Linked DNA regions of Canis lupus familiaris. The protein of the gene in region 2 binds, or shares a complex with, the protein of the main gene of each other region. Links are inferred from orthologs where the notes say so. Each region holds a gene or a part of one and is shown on either strand. Other genes may lie near its edges. The genes, in order: P2RX4 and AP2M1.

Region 1 (9,942 bases), on a different chromosome or scaffold from region 2:
TGTTCCGTGTGTTTGGGCAGGGAGCAGTTTCACCTAAAGGAGTGATAGCCACTCACAGCAGGTTTCTGAAACATTAACTGAGCTCTAGTAAATCTCTTGTTCAATGACAAAAACTTCAGGGTGAAATCCTACACTTCCATGTACATTACATGACTTAAGAGTAAACAAAATATTTTCAATTCTCTAGACTGAACTCTCGAGTAGTTCAGAGGTCATTTAGAGCTTCCAGGATACGTTCCCCAGCTTTAGGCATGTGATCAGAGTTAGAGCCCATGAAACCTGTGTCTGTATATTAGCAGCTTGGCTTGTTTAGAACCTGCGTATTCTAGAGACTGCCAAGGTTTTGTTTTCTCAAATATTAGCTGATTGTTGTGGTTAGTGAAACAGTTTCTGGAGGGCCAGTGAGGAAATACTCTGATGCGATGGAGACACAAATGCTCCTCCTTACGGGTAAAGCCCTATTGGGATCTACACAGTCACTTTGGGGCACCCTTTTAGAGAAGGTGGTTGAAACCTAGAGCAGTCCTCAGGGCCCAGGAGAACCAGGGCTTGGCACAGGGAGTTGTGTTTTGTAAGCCAAAGGTCCAGACAGAAAAGGCTTTACCTTTTTGGGTTCCATCTCAGACTGGGAAGTTTCATTGAAGTTAAGTGTGACTTCTTTCCGGAGCCACAGATGGCTGAGCAGAGTTCAGGGGGGAGGAGAACAGGAAGGCCTCTGCCCTGGGAGATTCCCGGTGCTGTGGACTCCAGCTTGGGGGAAATGGTGTCAGTAACTGGCCTTGGAGGACATGCTTGCCTGTAGTTTCTGATCATCATTGGCAGGAGGATCTTCTGCAGAGAGACAGCAGAGCAAGACCTCGTGCCCCCGCCACCCAGAGCATTCACAGAACCTGGGTGTTCCTGGCTTCCACAGATCTTTGTAAGCTCTTGACTGTCATTTAGCTCAACTTCTCTTGCTATTTTATAAACAGTATAGAATTAGGGGATGCTGGTTTCCAAGAGCAAAGGACAGCCGTCAAGATGGAGGGTTGTCTGGCCTGCTTTCTTTTTGTGACCTGGTACTTCCTCTTGCATTCCTGCGCTTGTTTATATTTATGGGCACCACCCCTTCTGGAAGCAGCTGGGGTCTGGTTAGTTTGCAATAAGCACCTTGCAGTAGTTAGAGTCCTTAGTCCCCGCCTGTCTGTGTGGACTCTGGTCTGGCCGAGTGGCTCGCCCAGGGCGGGCTGACAGCATGCGGAGCTTCTGCAGAAATCCTGTTTACACAGTTGCATCGGGTAAGAACATTTCTTCTGCCACAGAACTCCCCACTTAAGGTTTCCTGTGTGGAATGTCGGCTGTTTAGGTGGGTGGGTTCATAACTTTTTTTCAAAGAAACACCAAAGAAAGCTGTGTGAAGGAAGCGCCACCCCCCAAAAAGGATAAGCTGAGGGCTGTACCATCATGCGGTAGAGTTACCATTTTCTTGGAGCACAAACGTTGGCTTTTGAGAAGCTGGCTCTGTCAGGAAGGGGGAGAAGCCATCATGGGCAGCTTTCCCAGGTGAGCAAAAGGGGTGCCCTGGCAGTTTCTTCCATTGTTGGCTCATCTGTGGGACCAACTTGGTGTAAGCAACCTGGGGCCTGCACAGGTTCTTGCCCCAACATCCTCTGTCCTGCTCCACTTCTACCATCTCTTCCACAGCCCTCCCAGGGGCTCCGAGAAAGCCTTAGCTAGCCCCTTGACGGCCCTGGGGGCTGGAGAGGCTGTCTCCCCAGTGGTCTGGCTTTCCTGTGAGTTAGGGCTCCCACCCTTTCTGGAACAAAGAGGCAAACACCTGAGCATTGAAGTGGGCTCAACCTGTTGCTCTCACTCATCTTCCAAAGCAGAGCTTCCTATTGCTGGGGGGAAGAACTATGACCTCCACTTGTTTCCAAGGTGCTAGAGAAGGTTTCAAGGTCGTCAGTTCCCATCCTCTTTGCAGCTTTATGGGCCGAGTTTCGCAGAACTGCTAACTTTTCTATTCTGTGTCTGATTTAATGCCCGATGCTTCTGTTTTATTCCTGATCCTTTCTACTATGCATTTTCCTTTTATCAGGTGTACAAAGTTAAATACTGTGTATTTATCACTTAAAAGTACATGAATTTAAGAGAAAAATAAGCCTTTGGTGTTTTTCCACAGATGTTTAAGCTTCTCTGTAAACTTGAAATAAACAGCAAAATGGTGCAAAGCCTAGGCCTTTTGGGGATATTTTTGCTGGTCATTGTTTATAGATATCTCTAGGACATCCATCCTTATGTCTGTTTTTCTTCCTTTGTGAGATCAGATGTCCACGTCAGTATAACATATTCAGCATTATATTATTCATTGTCAGTGTAACCATGTCCTAGTATCCTGCTACTGAAAGTGTGGTCCCTGGACTGGGAGTGTTAGCATCTCCTGGGAGTGGGGTGGAAATGCAAGTTCCCAGACCCCATTTAAAGAAGATCCCCAGGTAACTTGTGTGCCCACTGAAGTCTGAGAAGCACTGTTTTAGCAGGCAGGTAATTGCTAGTTCTTCTTTGGAGACCAACCAGGTGAGCAGCTACGGGAGCAATATTAATTACACATGGAACACATCCTGCGAGCAGGCATGTTCTAGGACACATCACCCCACAAGGTAGGTATTTATCCCATCTTATGGATTATTACCTGCAAAGTGAAGCTCAGGAAAGTGAAGTCAGTTGTCCAAGGGCTCCAACTTTGATAGCAAATGCAGTGTTCTACAGAGCTTGGACAGTTGCAGGTTGGTTTGTTTTAGTTTTATTTATTTATGAGAGACACAGAGAGGCAAAGACATTGGCAGAGAGAGAAGTAGTCTCCCTGGGTGAGAAGCCCATGCAGGACTCGATCCTAGGACCCAAGGATCATGACCTGAGCCAAAGGCAGATGCTCTACCACTGAGCCACCCAGGTGCCCCAGTTGCAGGTTTTCATGGCATTTGGAGACTTAGAACTGATGCGTCCTTCAGGCTAGAGGCTGGGGGTTCCCTGCACTCCAAACGTGAATCTAGCCCATGACATTGCTTTATTGGCTTTGAGCTCAGGTTTTTTGGTAAAAGGGATGGCAGATGAAGTCTGAAAGCTCCTTGTTCTGTTGTTGCAGAAATGTAACATTGGAATACTGGTCTTTAAGAGTCAAGAGCAGGTGTTCCTATCCAAAGACTCCACTGAGAATTGAATGAAAGCTCTAAGACATGCAGACAGGTGCATCACTTTGCAGAGTTTAGGAATTCCAGAGACTGGAAATCTGTCCATGGGTGCAAAGGTGAAGGACCCCTACTTAAGCAGCAGCCTGGGGAATGCCAGCCAGTGGGAATATAGCTGAATGGTGAGTAAAATAAGCAATCCTTTCCCCATCCTGCACCCCAGCTGGCCTGAGCATTACATTTGAGAAAAAAGGAGGCCAAGAGAAGTCTCCCCCACTCTGTTAACTATCACTTCTTAGCCTGCCAGATGAAAAACTGTCCCTAAAAAATTCCAGCTCCACTTGATCCATGTGTTTCAAGCAGGCTTTTTTTTTTTTTTTTCTTTCTTTCAAAAAGGCAGCACGGGGGTTCCTGGGTAGCTCAGTGGTAGAGAGTCTGCCTTTGGCTCAGGTTGTGATCTCGGGGTCCTGGGATTGAGTCTTGCGTTAGGCTCCCTGCAGGAGTATGCTTCTCTCTCTGCCTATGTCTCTGCCTCTCTCTGTTGTCTCTCGTGAATAAATAAAATCTTTAAAAAGAAAAAGGCAGCACAAGCCAGAGCTTTTTCAAAGGGGTTTGTTAAATGTTTGTTTTGTTTTTGCCCCCCCCCCCCCCGCCCCGAAGCAAGAAAAGCCCAGTTTTATCCAGCAGAAGCAGGCACTTCTAAAATAAACGTTCCCTTTAGTACTTGGAAATGAATTCGTGATATGGGGGGGAGGGGGGAGACAAGCAGCTCCTGAAGACTTGTTGCAGAATTAAGTCGGTGTGAAGGCATAGCTAGAAATAACTTTATTAACATTTCAAAGTAGGTGTAGGTGGTGCTGCTTGTAGCTGGAGACTTCTGGAAAGCAAGTGGGGAGGGGGGGGAGGATAAGCCATGTTCTTGTTACCTAAAATTGTGTCCTCCATAGTGTAGTGTCACAATTATAGGTAAAAAAAAACAAAAACAAAAACAAAAACCAAAAAAACCGCATGTGCGGGTAAGACAAGTAGTCACCACGGTACAAAATCTTGCAAATTCTGTAGGAACACAACAACCTCAGAAAGATCAAAATTCTTAAGGCCTTCAAGAGAAGGTCAAGTCAGGGGAAAAACACCTAAGCTCCAAAGACAGACTCAAGAAGTTTTTTTCTGAACACCGTGAACTGGGACAACAGATGGGTTTACGGGTTGAAGTAAAAGAGAAGGGAGGAAAATTCTAGTTACATGCTATGAAACCAGGCAGAGATTGAGAAAATCATTTTAATGTTTGGTCCTCGACCACATCAATATGCCTCTTCTTTCAGAGGATATACAGACTCTGTCTTGTGACAGCATGGATGGGGGAGGGAAGCAGCAGCCCAGGTGTGCTCAAGGTCTAGTGACCACACCTAGCTGTCCTTCCTTCCCTTGTAAAGTGCTTGAACAAGGCTGCCTGACCACAGCTGGGCCTGTCTTGCAGGGAGCTGGAGCTGGGAGCCCCTGAGGAAGGCTGGCCCTAGGTGAGGCCCCAGCCCCTGCAGTGGCAGTAGCACTCACCACTGCCCTTGGGCCAGAGGTCACCTGAACATCCCCAAGTTGAGGCAACCCACTGTGCAGGGTGGTTTACTCTGCACATCCTACACACAAAACAGCTGGGTGACCATGATGTCCTTGTGCAATGGAGATGGACTCAGACTCTGGAACCTTCCCTGAGGTGACATAGCAGCCTTTTCTCCGTGCTGTGCTCTGATGAGGACTGTGGGGAGCCCAGGTATGGAGTAAGCATCACTGGTCCATCTCTCCACCAAGACCCTGCAAAGGACGATATGCTTATCATTGACTGATATGCTTATGGATAAATGTGTACCCACCATGTGCTGCCCACAGGTAAGCCTGGACCATTCAGGGCAGGTGTGAGCCAGGACTTTTGGGCAGTTCTTCACAACTGAACATATACAGGTTAGTCCTAGTGCAGGGGGTCTCAAAGCGTGGGACCCAACCCCTCTTGCTATGCGAGGCAAGTTCAAGTAGTGTGGGGTTTTGTCATAATATTCATTATCATAACTAACCTGAGATGTCACTAATTAAAATGAGGTTAGATTTTAAAGAGTGACGGTCTAGAAGTGGAGCAGAGAATGAGTGGTGTGCAGCCGCCTGGGCTGACCACAGGCCCAAATAGCACCACCTTTGTGCTCGGGCCTCCCCTAGTTGGCCCAGTACTCAGGGTGCTCACCACTGGTACAAAAAAGGTGGAGGAGGCAGGTGTTTGGGCCTTCCTGCCTTCTAGAGTTCAGGAGGTGGCCTACCTGCTCATAATCCTCCACATACTTATATTTCTTCTCCCGGTAGTAGTATCTTTTCTTCATGCAGTAGAGGACAATGATGTCACATAGCACTGTTGCCTGAGTGTGACACAGGGCAAGAAAGAATGAGCCAAGATGCTTTAGTTTATTATTCTATGCATGCCCCTTCCCAAAAAGCCTGGAATCTTTCAAAGAAAGGAAAGGCTTCAAATAAATAAATAAATAAATAAAAAATAAAGAAAGGAAAGGCTTCACCTCTCAGGAGAAGGCAAGGCCCAGAGAGCTGTGGTGTTGGAGAAGGGAAGGTGAGGTGAGGTGGCAGCAAGGGCAACAAGCCTGGAGGGTCAATTCTAGAAAAGAGTTTAGGGACAAGGGGAAGAACCCGGATGCCAGTGGAGGGGCTCATCTTGCTGTGCTAACTACTGCTGAGGAGGGCTCCAGGCCCCGGGGGTGAAGGAGCAGGCTAAGTCACTCACCACCCCTAAGAGCGCCAAACCAGAGCCGATGTTGATCATGGTGGGGATGATGTCAAATTTCCCAGCCTACAAATGACAGGAGAAAAAGAAAAAGTTGCAATAGAGGACATAAGCAGGTAAAAGGTGAGGGAGGGGGCCCCTCGTCCCTGGCCAACCCAGAAGCCTAGGTTTGGACCAGAGCCCTGACAGGAGCAGGAGGCCAGGCTACCTTTCCGAACACTATGATGTCGAAGCGGATGCCGTAGGCCTTGATGAGCGTGCGGCGCTCAGCACCAGTCAGGTCACTGTAGTACTTGGCAAACCTAGGGAAAGGAGGATGGAAAAAAAAAAAAAAAAAAGAAAGGAGGATGGGTTAAAGGCAGAAGGCACAGGGCAGAGACAGACAGGTGGCTGGATCCACCCTCTGGGTCTCGGGTGGGGGACATTAGAGCAAAACTCCCGGAGGCCCTCTGGAGCCAGCACTACCCGCTGGACAGATGATACCTGAGCATCTGGGGCAACCCCCGGCCATTGTGGGTCACACAGTGTGATAACTGGGCTGTTGGCAGGAGGATGCCAGAAAAACTTTTTTAACATCACTGTTGCCTCCTATGGCTGAGCCAGAACCTCTCACGCTGAATATCCTCCATATCAGAGCTGAGTCGCCTACCTGTCTGAAGGAGATCCTGGCTACTAACAGAATGTGGCCAGGCAGCAGCAAACTCCAGGACTGCCTGTGGGCAGGGGCATGGAGCCGGCCATGAAACTCCACAGAACTCACAGACTCAGCACTGGACTTTCTTTTAAAAGACCCATTGACCCATCAATGGATAAATGAATAAAATGTGGCATATCCATATAATGGAACACAATTTGGCTGTAAAGAGAGATAAAGTAATGATAAATGCTACAACATGGATGAACCTAAAAAAAAAAAAAAACCAAAACAACATGATACAGAGTGAAAGGAGCAAGTCACACACCGTGTGGCTCCATTTATATGCAGGTCCAGAGAGACAGGAAGTAGACAGTGGTTGGCAGGGACAGAGGTTGACGGGAGGATACCGGGGATGGCTGAAGGGTATGCGGTTTCTCACTGAGGTGATGAAATGTTCTACAATTGTGATAGTCCTACAGCTTCATGGCTAAAAACGATCTAATCCCTTACTTTAAGTGGATGAACTATGTGGTATGTGACCTATATCTCAATAAAGCCATTGAAAAAACCCCACAAGGGGGAGTGGTGATGGTGGTGAGCACTGTTGAACCATGAAACCATTTGCTGCCCGTGTTAAATAGGACACTGGTTCAGAGAAGCCTAAACTCTTGGCCTGCAACGGTCTGGCCCAGAGCCTCCACATCCTGGTCGGGCCTGGGGAATTCAGGTGGGGCCTGATGATAGCGGAGGTCAGATGCATGGGTGCCCTTCTGGTGAGGGCCCCCATCAGCTTCTCTCTGTCCTGAAGTTCTGACCCACGCTTGAGGTTTTCCTCAATAGTTTCTAAACTGTAACAGTAGAGAGAGAGCAACACACATCTAATTCCTTTCCTAGGAAAATTCAAATATCTCTCCTAGTATCAGTGAGCCAGATGGGTCAAAATGATAGCAGACTGCATTTCTGGACAGTCTTATGATCCCTTGTGTCTTTGATTGTACATGTCACCACTAGAGGGAGACAAGGGCAACACAAAAGCGCCTCAGACCTACTCAGGTGGCCCCTGGAAGGGCTGCTTTGTTTAAGAGTGGTAAAATGTGCAAAAGAGGCCACAGAGGGCACATGAAAATGTACATGGCTACAGGTTTTGCCACCTCATGGAAGTGGCAAACCTGGCCTTGGCCCCTTGTCCCCTCCATCAAATTACTAGCTATACCAGGCTGAACACCATCACCCAAGATTTGTGTCCACCTGAAACCTGTGAATGTGAAGTGGAAGTAGGGAAATCAGGTCTTTGTGGATGGAGTGAGTTAAGGTGAGCTCATATTGGATTAGCTTGGATTCTGATTCAATATGGCTGGTGTCCCTATGAGGAGAGGACACACAGAGCTGCGCAGAGGGAAGAAGGCCATGTGACAACAGTGGCAGAGACAGGAGTTATGGGTGTATAAGGCAAGGAACACCGAACATTGCAAGGAGCCGCCAGAACCGGAGGAGGCAAAGAAGGTGGCTGGCCTTGTGGACACCTTGATTTTGGGCCTCTGGCCTCCAGATCTGTGAGAGAGAGTACCTTCCTGTTGTTTCAAGCCACCCACTTTGTGGTAATTTGTTAAGGCAGCCCCAGAACACTAATATATGGTACTCTGAGCAGGGAAATAGCAGTGAAGGCCTTTCCTGAGGCTTAAACCTGTATCCCCAGTACCCTGGAGATTCCAGGGCAGGCTCGGTCTTTGAGAAATTAATTCCTCACCCACTCTTCAGAATCAGTGAGCCAGTCCTACCTGAGGTTGGCCCTGGGAAGCTCAAGTAGCCAGCCTCTCTTGGCTGCTCTGCATATTATCTCAACATGATTTCTGAGATAAGGAGGGGCACAGGGGGCTCTTAGGGGCCAGGATACTGCCAGCACAAGGCTCTGCTTGAACACTCTCCCTGGCATACAGCCTTCCCACCTGTCCTTGGGGGACCGAATGAGTGCTGGTCTTGATGGGTATGGACCATCGTGGATGGGGACCAGGGAGTGATCCAGCTGCCGTCACCCCCCCCCCCCCCAAGAGAACTGGGACCTAAGCTCACACCTACCTGAAATTGTAACCAGGGGACACATTGTGGTCCACATCCCGGGTGTCCAGGCGGCGGAAGGAGTACCTGGGCAGGCAGAGGGAGGAGGTTCTGTCCAGGTTGCAGTTCCAGTTGATCTGAATGCCCATGATGCCTCCCTGTGGGGTGTGAGCAGAGACAGAGCAAGGTTTCCTCAAGGCCCATTCTAGAATGAGAGGTGTTGAAGACTGTCAGAAAATCCAGGGGCCTGTGTCTACCTCGATGGCCATGTCTTGGAAGCTGTGCCCTGCGCTCTCCACTATTTTGCCAAGACGGAATATGGGGCAGAAGGGATCTGTTACAGCATCATAAATGCACGATTTGAGGTAGGTTGTAGTGATGTTCGGAAGAATATTCCTCCTAAAGTCAGGAAGAAGCAGAAATGAAACGAAGAAAACCTCCAAGTAGAGTCAGAAGTTACTCTAAAACTCTGTGAACTCACATGGCTGGCCACCACTTACTTGCTGAAATTAAATTTGGGATACCAGATGTTGTTCTTAACCAAAAGAGTGAAGTTTTCTGCAGCCTTTAGAAAAGCAGGTCTGAAAAAAAAATCATAGCATATTGTTAATAGAAGTACAAATATACATATACTCCCATTCTTACGTAATATTTTTTTAAATTTTTTTTAAATTTTTATTTATTTATGATAGTCACAGAGAGAGAGAGAGAGGCGCAGAGACACAGGCAGAGGGAGAAGCAGGCTCCATGCACCAGGAGCCCGATGTGGGATTCGATCCCGGGTCTCCAGGATCGCGCCCTGGGCCAAAGGCAGGCGCCAAACCGCTGCGCCACCCAGGGATCCCCTTACGTAATATTTTTAAGAAGCATATGCACATGTGCCTTACAATGTCATTTTGTCAAGAAAAAAAGTGAAACACCTCAAGCATTTTTTACTGTCCTCTGCATAAACACTAGATCAGCAGAGACTAAACCAAGCCTTTCCATTTCTTCCTCTCTTGCCTCTTGCAGAAGGCAGGGGGAATTTAAGAGCTTGAGGAATAGTTAAGGAGGGTGATGCCTAGAGGCTTCCTGGGAAACTATTCAGCCTGTAGCTGTGGGGTTTCAGAGCTCGCTTCCCTAAGGCATTCTCCATTCTCCCTGGGAATGCTCTACAGATCTGGTTTTACAAGTAAAGCAAAGGTAAATTCACTGAGAAGGTAAATCCTGACCTCATCTCAAAAGTACATAGAAGTCACGTGTCTGCTGGCACAGGGCCTCGGCTCTCAAGTGCCACGTCAGCTCCTGGCTGACAGTACAAGTTGAAT
Region 2 (10,735 bases):
GGGAGTTTGCATTACTGCAGAAATGATAATCCTGAAGGAACCTGTGATTCACCAGGCCCCACAGAGCCCTCCAAGGTCTACCCTCTCCCACCAGCAACCCTGCCTCAGGCACCTCTTGCTTGTTTCATCAGCTGTGCCTTTGCCTTGCTTCTCAATGACAATCTTGTCATTCATCCCAAACTTGCATTCAGGCATGCCACTCAGGTAGCTCTTCATCACCACCCGGCCTGACACATGGGCACTCAGCACCTGCCCTGGGGATAGACATGGGAACATCTGAGTTAGGACGAGGATCCTGCCCTGGTCCTGCCCCTCCAGCTTCATCACGAGAGGGCTCTCACCCTGTGGGGACATGAGGAGGTTCACACTTTCCAGCACATCCAAAAAGAGCTCATTCCGGCGATACTTGATGCCCTCCCGCCGCCAGCCAATCTGCCCAGTCACCTGGCTGGTGATCTGGGATTGCTCTTCTTTTGTCTACACAGAGGGGACAGAGAAAAACACTAATGGCCTCATTGCTCTCCACCTTCAATGATCCCGTCTCTGTCCCTACTCCACTCTCACTCCCCCTCCCTTCTAGTCCCCATCCTGTAACTCATCTCTTTCATAAGCTCCATGAAGCAGGGCCCGAAGAAAACTGGATCAAAGCTGTAAAGGTAGAAGCTGAGGGAACAGCTTACCTGATGCTGGAGGCCAAAGGGCCAATGTGATGCCAACCGGAAGCAGTAGGGGGACACAGACGGGAAGAGGCAGGCAGAAGAGAAGGAGAGGGCAGCTATAAGGCCTGTATCCTAGAGGAAGGCCCACGCTCTCTCCCCGAGGAACACCAGGCCTCCAGGGCAGCCCACACCCTTCCTTCCCCCAGTACAGAAGGAAACTGTTTGAACCCTATTCCCAGTAACAGAGATGCTGAGTCGGCTGCTCCTAGGGTGGAGGGCCACATGCAGCAAAATTGGCCTGCAATCACAGTAGAGGGCTCAGGCCTGTGCTTCCTGGTAGAGGCGGGCTCTTGAGTGAGCGGAGACAAGGCTAGGGGGAGCTTGAGGAGGATGGGCCCAACCCTTGCTGTGGCTATACAAGGGAGTACCTGGCTCTTGATACCCTGCTGAGTGATGAAGGTTTTCAGTGCTCCTGTCTCTGAATTCTGTGGATAGCCAAAGTCCAGGATCTCTGCAAAAGGAAGGGAACTATCAGCCCTGGAAAAAGCTGAAGGCTCCTTCAGTCCAATATCTCCCTTGGCCTGGACAAATCTGGCCAGCAGAGCTCTAGAAGAGTGTGGGATCATCTGCAGCAATGTCCTCTAGCTTTGTAGCATTTACTTTGAGATTTGTGCTTCATAAGACAACAATTAAAACATCAGATATTTTTCACAGAGAAAATGAGCAGAAGAATCTTATGGCCAGTGGGTGAGAGATCAAGAAGCTCTGAGTCCTTAGAAAACAAACAGACCCTGGGAAGGTAGAAAGACTCTGTTCCTTTCAATCATACCCTACAAAGGAACAAAGATAATGCAACCCCAGAAGCCGGTCATATCTCAACCTCCTTCAGGCTCTGAGGCAGAGCCTGTTGAGATAGAAAGCTGGAAGGACAGTCAGTGAACTAAGGCCCAAACTACAAAGGTAAGAAGGAAACATGCTTAACTGTAGGAGGTCCAGCTACCAAGCCCCAGATAGGTTCCTAGCCCCCTGAAAAATCTTTTGGTTCTCTGCCCCCTCTCCCCACCTCCACTCACTATTTCTTCTACTTCAGAGCTTCTTTTGGGGCTGAATTTAGACTGGCCTTTTCAGGGCTCAAAAGAGCAGATATTCAGGAAAGAAAGTTGAGAGGGCACTGGAGGGAACCTCACAAGTGCTCCTACCTCCAGGCTAGGCCCCATCAGGTTCATCCCCACCCTAGGCCCACCGCCCTGCCAGCCTCACCATCCAGTAGCTCATATATGAGCACAAAATTGTTCTTGATGTTCTCCTCGCTGATCTTGCCAAAGTAGGCAGCCATTACATCACACATCTTATAGAGGAATTCGAAGACCATGGCAGCATTGACATTTTGCTTGGTGACAGCTGCCAACCAGATGTTGGACCGCTTAACATGGAAGAAACTGGTGCGAGCGATGTTGGTGACGGGGCTGCGCACCTGCTGCCGGGCGTGGATAACATTGACTCGAAAGGCATCCACTGCATTCCTCCTAAGGGAAAAGAGTACACAGGGGCTGCTCAGCACCCAGGCAAACCCCACTCCATGGGGATCAACCACAGCTGCTAACAACTTTTCATCCCTTCACTGCTTAAGTCTGACACGTACTATGAATCTGAAGCCAAAGCCTAAACTACTGGGGCAGTTCCCTTGTGGCTCCCAGCATGGGAATAGGACCAGAGCTGGGCTGGTGTCTGAAGGCCACCAGAGACAGGTAAGTCAGGTGGGAATGACAGGAGAACAGGTATAGTGTTAATAAAGTGAAGTCCATCACACTTAAGGAGGCATGTTCCTGATGCTGAGGCCTGAGGCCTGCTGAGGTCCCAATTTCCCAGCTGCCACCTCTCCAGCTTCTCAGTAAGCTCGAGGCCCAAATGACAAAGACAACTTGCTTGTTCTTCAGTTCTCCCACTTGTGATCCCACCAGTGGGAGGTCTGGCTCTTCTAGAAGTGAGGCAAAGCCAGCATAACTTCAGAGTAGGCTCTAATCTAATCTAAGGAAGAAGCACCAAGGGGCCATGGAGCTGGGCCATTTGTTCCCGTCCAGGATCCAATTCCAGGACAAGTTCAGGGAATGAAAACAGACAAAGAAAACAATGATGGGGGGCAGGGCCCCCCACCCACCTGTGCCTGGGCGGCAGCTTGACAGGCTGCTTACCTATTGCTACGGCAGCCAATGAGATGGGATGAGAGAAATGACGCCAGCAAGAAGAGGAGAGTGACAGCAACGAGAGAGAGGATTAGACACACAACATCCTGGGGTAGGCTGCACACACCATGAAGTGGAAGCAGACGAGCAAGAGGCAAGGGGTGGAAAGCATAGCAAGTCATGCAAGACAGTAGGTGCCCTGGCTTAAGCAGGTCCATCCAGGGCAGGCAGGAGGGGGTGTGGATGGGTATAGCCAGCCAGGTTCAGGCAAGCCAGGCACTGCCACAACTCTAGTTCATGCCCTACCACCAGCCAATGGACAAACAGCCACAAAGGCCAGGCCAGCCCACTAGCCAGGGAGCTGGGAGCCAAGAAGCTATTGGGCTCTGCAGCAGGCCCATCCTATAACTCTTTAACCTAAGCTCTTGGAGGAAGAAAAACAGGGCAGCATGAACCAGAGATGCCTAATCTCATTAGAGCTGCTGAGGCTAGGACATGTCCTCTCATTCAGGAAAGAATAGTGGCATGCAGTGTGGGGCAGAGTGAGAAGGCAGGCTGTGTCTCTTTGCTAAGGTCTGAGGGACCTAGAACAAGGAGCTATTCCGGGTCTACTCTGGTAGGCCAGGAAGGGCAGCATGGCCTCCCTGCCCTTCCTTCAGTGACCCGGAGAGTGCCCCAAGCTTGCTCACAACCTCTCTTCTAGGAGTGGCCCAGAGGAACTGAAAACAGCTGAGTCAGCAGCCTGCCTCCTCCTGAGAAAGGGAGTAGGAGAGGATTTGGCAGCCTGGAGAAGCTTTCAAGAGAATTCAGTGAAGGCTCTCACCGTGAGAAGGGCTTTTGAGAGCAAGACTTAGATGGACTAGTACCACTAGCCTGTCCACTAACTTCACCCCCTGGAGAAAGATCTCCCTCCTCCTCAAGGGAGGAATTCATCTACCAGGGCAAAAGCACTCATTTCTAGCAACTAGGTCTGTCACTAAGGAAAGGAGAAGGCAGGAAGGACAAGAGTTCCTAAGACTGTGGGGGGCCACACCATTCCACAGGTCCCACCTATTGGCCAATAACTGGCTGCCAGGCCAATACCACCAGACCTAATGGGAACCAGATTGTATTAGCTGAGCTTCTAAGATGCAGCGAGGGATGGGGGTGGCCAAAGTCCAGTCTCTGGTAGGAACGGACCTGGTCCTGCATGCTGGGGAGGAGGGATGAGGGGTGGGGACACAGCTGGCTCAGCCAGGGGACTCACCCGATGTCATCTCGGTAGACCCGGGAGATGAGCACCTCCCCCTTGTGATTATAGATGAATAAGCCTCCAATCATGGCGGCAGCTCAGTCTCCAAGGCCCATCGCTCTGAGAACAGACCTAGGACAGGCGGAGGCAGGGTAAGGGAAGGCCTCAGAACCTCTGCCAACATCCCCTGTGGGGCTGTGCAGGTCACTGGCTGGGCTTTTTTTCCTGACTCAACCCTCCAGTAAGTGACCCTGAAGCCCTCCCCAGGCATGCCCCTCCCCTTAGCCAGGCTCCAGTTCCTGTTTATCTCACACTGGAAAGGAGAAAGAAATGGAGAGGGACTTGGGCCCAGGATTCTAAGGCCATTTTGACCCTCCCTTTCCTGGGGCTGAGCCCAGAGTGTAGCCCCCTCCCCCTCTTTTCAGTGCTGAGCTCAGCACAGATCCTTTTTGGCCCCTTCCTGTGCAGACTCTCACTCAGACTCTAGCCGGTGAGTCACTGGGAAGGCCTGCCTGCGGCTGCAGGAATGGCGGTAGGAATTATTCCACTTGGTTCAGGCCTGGGGCCCCCAGGCACGGCTTTAGGAGCACCCGGTCTCTCAGGCTCCACTAACCCTTCGGAGAAGACAGCAGGGCCTGAACCTGTGGCTCTCTAATTCACAGAAGTCTAAACATTCCAGGAAAGGGTGTGCAGGGTGTGGGGAGGAGACAAGGGAGGCCTTAGGCCCTGACACAGACCCTGGAGTGTGGCTCCAACCAATCCCAGGCAGTCAGATAAGCAGGCAAAAGAGCAGAGGAGAAAGGGCCCAGCCTTGGCCGACTACACTTCAATGACCCAAGCTGCTTATTAGTTATTTTTAACCACCTCCCTTTCAAAAAGGGAGGATCCCTCTCAGTTCCCAAGTGCAGTAAAAATAAGGGGGTGGGAGTACAGGTTTATAAAACACAAAGATCAATCCAGCTGACATTCTATGATTCCAGAACCATGACATAACTCATTTCTGGCCTGAGTACCTATAAGGAAGGGGCAGAGAATAGGTGTGCATTATCCAAATTATTTGGGTCAAAATATTTGCAAGGAGAAAAAGGGTTAATTTAATTCTAGATTTCCTGAATTAGCTCTGGTATTGATTTTACAGGGCAGAGGGAGTTTAGCAGACTTTTCTAAACTGGAAAATAAAGCCCTATTACTGAGGCCATCAGGGTCTCCCCAACTCAGTGAGAGGTCTCTCAAGGTGGTGGTGGACACATTCCACCCCAGAGTCCCAAAAAAGGCTGGGAAAGGAAATGAAAAATGGGAGGTAGAGCCCCGGGCAAAGAAGCAAGTTCACAGATATCAAGTGGTAGGGGCCGCAGGGCACCGAAGGAGCGGAGGTGGGGCCCAGGGCAGGAGGGGAATACTGAGCTAAGGGGAAGGACGGGCAGAAGGAGCCAGGCGGTCTAGTCAGGTGAACCTGCAGCAGCAAGAGGGCTGGGGCTGGGGGCTGGGGGGCGGGGGGGGGGACGGGGACATCTGGAGGAAGGAGTTTCCAGTGTGGCAAAGGTCAAGACTTTGAAACAGCAGGGAGGAGACTGACAAGTGGCGAATAGGGGAAAGCTGGGGCGGCGTTAACTTGCTTTAGGGTTCAAGTGTGGAGGCATGACGGGGGGTGGGCTCTTCGTCTAGGGGAGCAAGACATCGCGGGGATGAACATGGCTCCACGGGGCTGCGGGGGCTGTCACAGGTCTGAGGAAGAAGAGCCGAGGGGTGTCACTCAACTGGGGGGAGGGGGTGCGGCTGGTGGGAGGCCTGTCACAGCCCAGGGAGACGGCCCGAGGGGGTGTCACCGTCGAGGAGATGGGGGAATTGTCCTTGCGCTGGGAGGAGGCGGCGCCAAGGCACCAGGGGGGCTGTCACGATCCCGAGGAAGGGGGCGCCGCGCGGCATCCTGGCTCCGGGGGGACCCCAGGAGGTCTCCCTGTCACGGAAGGCGCCGGACTGCCGGTGGAGGGCGCCGCTCCCTGCCCACCCTGCAACCGCGCCCCGGGCGCCCCCGCCCCGCCGTCAGCTCCAGATCAGAAGGCTGAGGCCCCTCCCGGCTGTGGGCAGCTTTTCGCGCAGCGCAGTGCAGGGAAGGGCAAAGCTGGGTAGCGGGGTACGCGTTCTCCCTTACTCTCCGCCGGATTCCGAGCTTACCTGGCGTCCGCGGCCGCCTGCTCGGCCCGCCCGGCCACTCTCCAGATCCCAAGATGTCCGCCCGCCCCCTGCTCGCCAGCCCGCTGCCTCGGCTTTCACCGCAGTGCCGTGGCCCCGCCCCGAACACAGTTGCGCGTGCGCGTCCGGCGACCGAGCCGACTACAAATCCCGTCAGGCCCTTCGGCCTTCTAGCTTACAATTTTAGCCTTTCTAGGTTTAGGAAGACTACAACTACCGACTGCCTTCAGCGGGTTAGGCGTGCCTTGGGGAGGGATAGGCGTGGCCACATCCCATCATACTCCGCTCCACTCGCTTCATTTTCCCTACCGAGCATTCTGGGAATTGTAGTCTGCAATCCATCCTGTTCAGCGTCTAGGAGAGCTTCGGAGGATTAATGCCATTTGTTGAAGCCCATCTGTTAAGCTTGAGATTGCTGTAGGCCTTTTCCGTCTCTGGAGTCCGAACACTGGCTGTGCTCACTTTACACACACACACACACGACTTGGCAGAAGTGTTTGCACTAAATTTACTGCTTTCTAACACCAGCTCTGATTTTCCCAAGACTTTTCATCAAATATTTGTTCCAGATGTGAGCCTCTTCCCAGGGATCAAGACCCAAGTAAAAGGGCAAAGATGGAGGAGGCAAATACTTGTAAGAAACTAGCCAAAGCTTTTCAAGAATGTCTGTTCTATCCCAACTACACATACCTATGTGACCCCTTGAGGCCAGGACCTGTGTGCCTTCTAGTGATGGCATATATGTTGCTTAAAAAACTGCTGGCAAGTTTAGCTGGACATGGAACTTGAAATCCCTTCTCTAATGAACAGAGTTAATCTTCACACCCAAGCTGAGAAGAAAAGACAGAGCAAACCCTCAGATATGAAAGCCCTGCTTGACTTTTACAGGACCCGAAGAAAATGTTAGCTCTTCTCTTTCTGTACGGAGAGCTTCCCTTATGCCTTCACTGGTGCTGAGCCCATCATGGGAGGAAGGGCAAAAAAGGGCAAACCTGGTTACAAACCCTACTGTCCCAGCATCCTCCTGCTAGAAGCCAGAATGTGGCAGGATGAAGATCTGGCCTTCCTCAAACAGTGGTCACCATGTGAATCCATTAAGTGACTGAATACAGGCATTTCTAAATCTTGAACCGGCACTCAGATCTTCACTGCTACCTTTCCAAAAGCTTTATCTTCAATCAATAATACCCTACCAATTTAGAATAAATAATAATAGTAGTAGTAGTAATAATAATAGCTACCATTTATTGAGCACCTATTCTACTCTGTGCCAGGCACTGTGCTAGGCACTTTTCGTACAAGTCTAATTTAAATCCTCACAACAACCCTGTGAGGTAGGTATTATTATCATCATTTTACATATGAGGGAATTGAGGCTCAGAGAGATTAAGTAACTCTCTTATCACGAAACCAAAAAGTAGTAGAGCTGGGATTCAAGCCCAGAACAACCTGACTCCAAATCCCGTGCTCCTATGAATTAGGGTAGAGGCGGGGGGAGAAGAAGGACCATATTCAAGAAAGACTGTTGAAGTGGAATGGATATGATATGCTGACTAGTAAGAGTTGGGGAAGAATTTAAGTCCATAAATGTTCCTAGCTGGTATGCCTATGTAGACTGTGCTAAAGATCATCAGAGTTGGAATTAAGGAGGAACACACTTGATGGGGGAAATGAGTTGAGTCCATATAGATATGTCCATGGTGACGTCCAGTGGATAACACAGATCTAAAATTTGGAGAGAAGTTGTGGCTGGAGATAGGCATTTTAGAATCACCAGTGTATCAGTGGCAATTGAGGACATCAGGATAGATGACACCATTTGGGTAGTAAACTTAGAGGAAAGAGAAGTGAACCAAAGATGGAACACTGGGAGCACCAACATAGAAGGCATGAGCAATAGTGGAGGAATTCTCAAGGGAGTTGAACAAGGCAGAATCAGAAAAGGAAAAGTATAGGAACCAGTCCTGTAGTGGTGGGAGAAAGCCATGGCCTTGGTTGGGAGCAAATCTAGAGCTCCTAGAACGTAAGCAAGACTGAGTCATGCCTCCAACACAGCCCTTGGTCACCAAATACCCCAGGAAGTACTTGTTAAATGAATAAATGCCAAAATATCTCTACCCTGGTTTGCCCCAGAGCCTGGAGCTTAAGACTGAATCCTACTCTTGACACCCCAGTCCTAAAAATATAGATGCCTCAGTCAGCCAGGAGAATTTATAGAAGAGGCTTAAAGAGAAAGTCATGATTTGCTTAAACTGGAGAATAAGGTAAAAAATAAAACCTAGCATTCAGGATTCCCAAAAGTCCCCCTACCCAACCTTTCTCTGGGGTATCATAGTGATTGTGAAATCACAGAAGGTTGTGTGGGGTAAGGGGCAGGGTGAGAACAACCTGTCAGTTGCTTGGGAAGTCCTTTGCAGAGCCTAACCTGAGATCCAGCTTATGAGCTTTATCCAGGTAGGAGGATGATGGGGACATGTGTGGGAGGCTTGAGGGCTATAAGGGAGGGGACAGGGAAGTCGGGACCAGCCCTACGACCTGGGAGAGAGGGTCCGGCCCTCTGGGTAGGGACCAGCCCTGAGGCTTAAGTGAACTTGCGTAGGCACATGTGTGTATGTGTGTGTGTGAGAGAAAGAGAGAAAGAGAGAGAGAGAGAGAGAGAGAGAGAGAGAGAGAGAGAGAGATGGGGCACTCTCGGGAAAGGGGAACAGAGTCTCTCATACATGGGTGAGAGTTTGGAGCCCTCCACAAAAGCCTAGTGACTCAACATGTTGAAGTGTAGGTGTGGGAGCTGAACATCCTTGGGAAGCCCTGAGGGGCTGCTGAAGCAGGGCTTCTGGTCTCCTCGGAGGCTGGGCCTCCCTTTGCTGGGGGCTCACAGAAAGTCAAACAGCCCGAAATTCTTGGCTGCTCCAGGCCCAGGAAAAATTGAGGGAAGAGAAAAGAAAGAAAAGAAATGTTTCAGGCCCAGAGGTGAGATGAGCCTGGTTAGTAGGGTTAGGGGTCTGATGGAACCAGCACATACAGCAGGCATGGGGGAGTATGGATATAGGGGTAGAACAGTTATGCTTCCTGGAAGCTGCTAGCAGCTCAGGCAACTTAGGAGGCCTTTCTGGGCTTCTAGTAAAGGCTAGCACAGGCTGGGATAGTGTGGATGGTTACTGGAAGTGACCACAGCTCTAGGATGCAGCACTGAAGCAGTGGCTGGGGTGGAGTAGGGTGGGTTGGGCAGTTAGAGGGGGGGTGGATGAAGCAAGTATTTTTTGTTGTCAGTAGTGCAGGGAAAAAGTTAAGAGATTGGCACACATGCTGGAGGCGATGCGGTTAATGAAGGGTGGATGTAGCTGGAAGGAAAGGTGCGAGGTTCCTGAGGGGAGAAACGTGGGGATAAAGGGGTGAACAGGCCCTCAGGGGGTCTGCGGGGGTCAATTCTTGAAGTGTATGTGGGGAATAAGGAGCAGCACCAGCAAGTCGGGTCCCAGTGACATGAAGGGTCCTGGGAGTCCTGCGCAGCGGTTAGTGGGTAGAGGGACAAGCTGGGTCCGGTGGCAGGTTAGGGGCCGCAGCGGCAATTGGTGGGTGCACCCCGCCCTCACTGCGCCCAGCGAGCAGTTAGCGCGCCTGAATTTAGTTCAATTTATTTCCCTTTCAGGTACCAGACAAAGTAAAAAAGATGGACGGATGGAGAGAGGGACGCAGCCGCCCAGGTGTAGGGGTGGGACGGAAGTAGGGGAGGGGTCCTGTTCACATCACATCCACAAAGAACTCACTGGGGTTTCCCATGGCCATGCGGAAGGACTGTCTGCTGGCGGTCAGTTCAGGGGGCACGGAGGCCAGGTCGCGGCCCGGTGGGGCTCCTGGGGGCCCCATGGCCGCGGGCGGTGGGGGCATCATCAGCATTGGGGGACCGTAGAGAGGGGGTACGCCAGGGGGGCCGTAGCTCGGGTGCGTGTGGTGGCTGCGCAGGCTGCTGGCCATTGAGTGGTGGCTGCGGTGGCTATGCTCGCTGGCGGCAGGACCCGAGCGCTCGCTGGGTGCCCTTTCCCGAGGCCCCCGCAGGCTGCTGCGGGTTGTGTGGTCCGACTCGCTGCCGCTGCCGCCCGACTTCGAGTCCCCCGCCTTCGGGTCCTTCTCCTTCCGCCGGTCACTGCCGCTACGGTTGGAGCCACTGCTCCGGCTGCCTATAGGCGACAGGCAGGCCCCCAGCGGGGCATGTTCAGAGCTTGCAGAAGCAGTTTGGGGCTGTGCACCACCCTCCACCCCCTCCACCTTACCTTCACTGTGCTGACTGCTGGCGCTGCCCCCACCATAGCTGTACCCCAGTTCTGGGAAGCCTGGGTGTGGGTTGTAGGGGTGTGGGGGTGGCGGGTACTGGTAAGGGAAGGCCATGGGCCACGGCGCAGCCCCAGGGTGTGGCAAAGGGGCCAGAGTGTCCTGGTCAGAGGCTCCGCTGGAACCGTCGTGATCATGGA

What was found.
Region 1: the proteins of AP2M1 (region 2) and P2RX4 are in contact, whole or in part, in a crystal structure (PDB 2BP5), measured with the Rattus norvegicus proteins. The link is inferred for Canis lupus familiaris from reciprocal best matches to the Homo sapiens genes AP2M1 and P2RX4. Residues at the interface, in NP_446289.1 of Rattus norvegicus: Phe174, Leu175, Asp176, Lys203, Asn217, Leu316, Ala317, Gln318, Lys319, Glu391, Val392, Pro393, Lys400, Val401, Arg402, Tyr403, Leu404, Ile419, Lys420, Trp421, Val422, Arg423, Tyr424, Ile425; in NP_113782.2 of Rattus norvegicus: Val375, Glu376, Asp377, Tyr378, Glu379, Gln380, Gly381, Leu382, Ser383, Gly384.

Annotation. Positions count from the first base shown.
Region 1 is NC_049247.1:8,126,128-8,136,069, forward strand, and holds the end of P2RX4 (P2X purinoceptor 4), read right to left. Parts: intron 9,217-9,942; coding exon 9,136-9,216; intron 9,035-9,135; coding exon 8,893-9,034; intron 8,794-8,892; coding exon 8,657-8,793; intron 6,246-8,656; coding exon 6,152-6,245; intron 6,010-6,151; coding exon 5,944-6,009; intron 5,567-5,943; coding exon 5,471-5,566; intron 4,977-5,470; coding exon 4,950-4,976; 3' UTR 4,432-4,949; downstream 1-4,431. UniProt on the Homo sapiens protein: ATP-gated nonselective transmembrane cation channel permeable to potassium, sodium and calcium. CTP, but not GTP or UTP, functions as a weak affinity agonist for P2RX4.
Region 2 is NC_049255.1:17,238,467-17,249,201, reverse strand, and holds the start of AP2M1 (AP-2 complex subunit mu), read right to left. Parts: upstream 6,368-10,735; 5' UTR 6,249-6,367; intron 4,206-6,248; 5' UTR 4,163-4,205; coding exon 4,089-4,162; intron 2,186-4,088; coding exon 1,920-2,185; intron 1,171-1,919; coding exon 1,088-1,170; intron 687-1,087; coding exon 681-686; intron 478-680; coding exon 342-477; intron 255-341; coding exon 113-254; intron 1-112. Other genes in the region: DVL3 (segment polarity protein dishevelled homolog DVL-3), read right to left, coding at 9,139-9,170, 10,034-10,444, 10,538-10,735.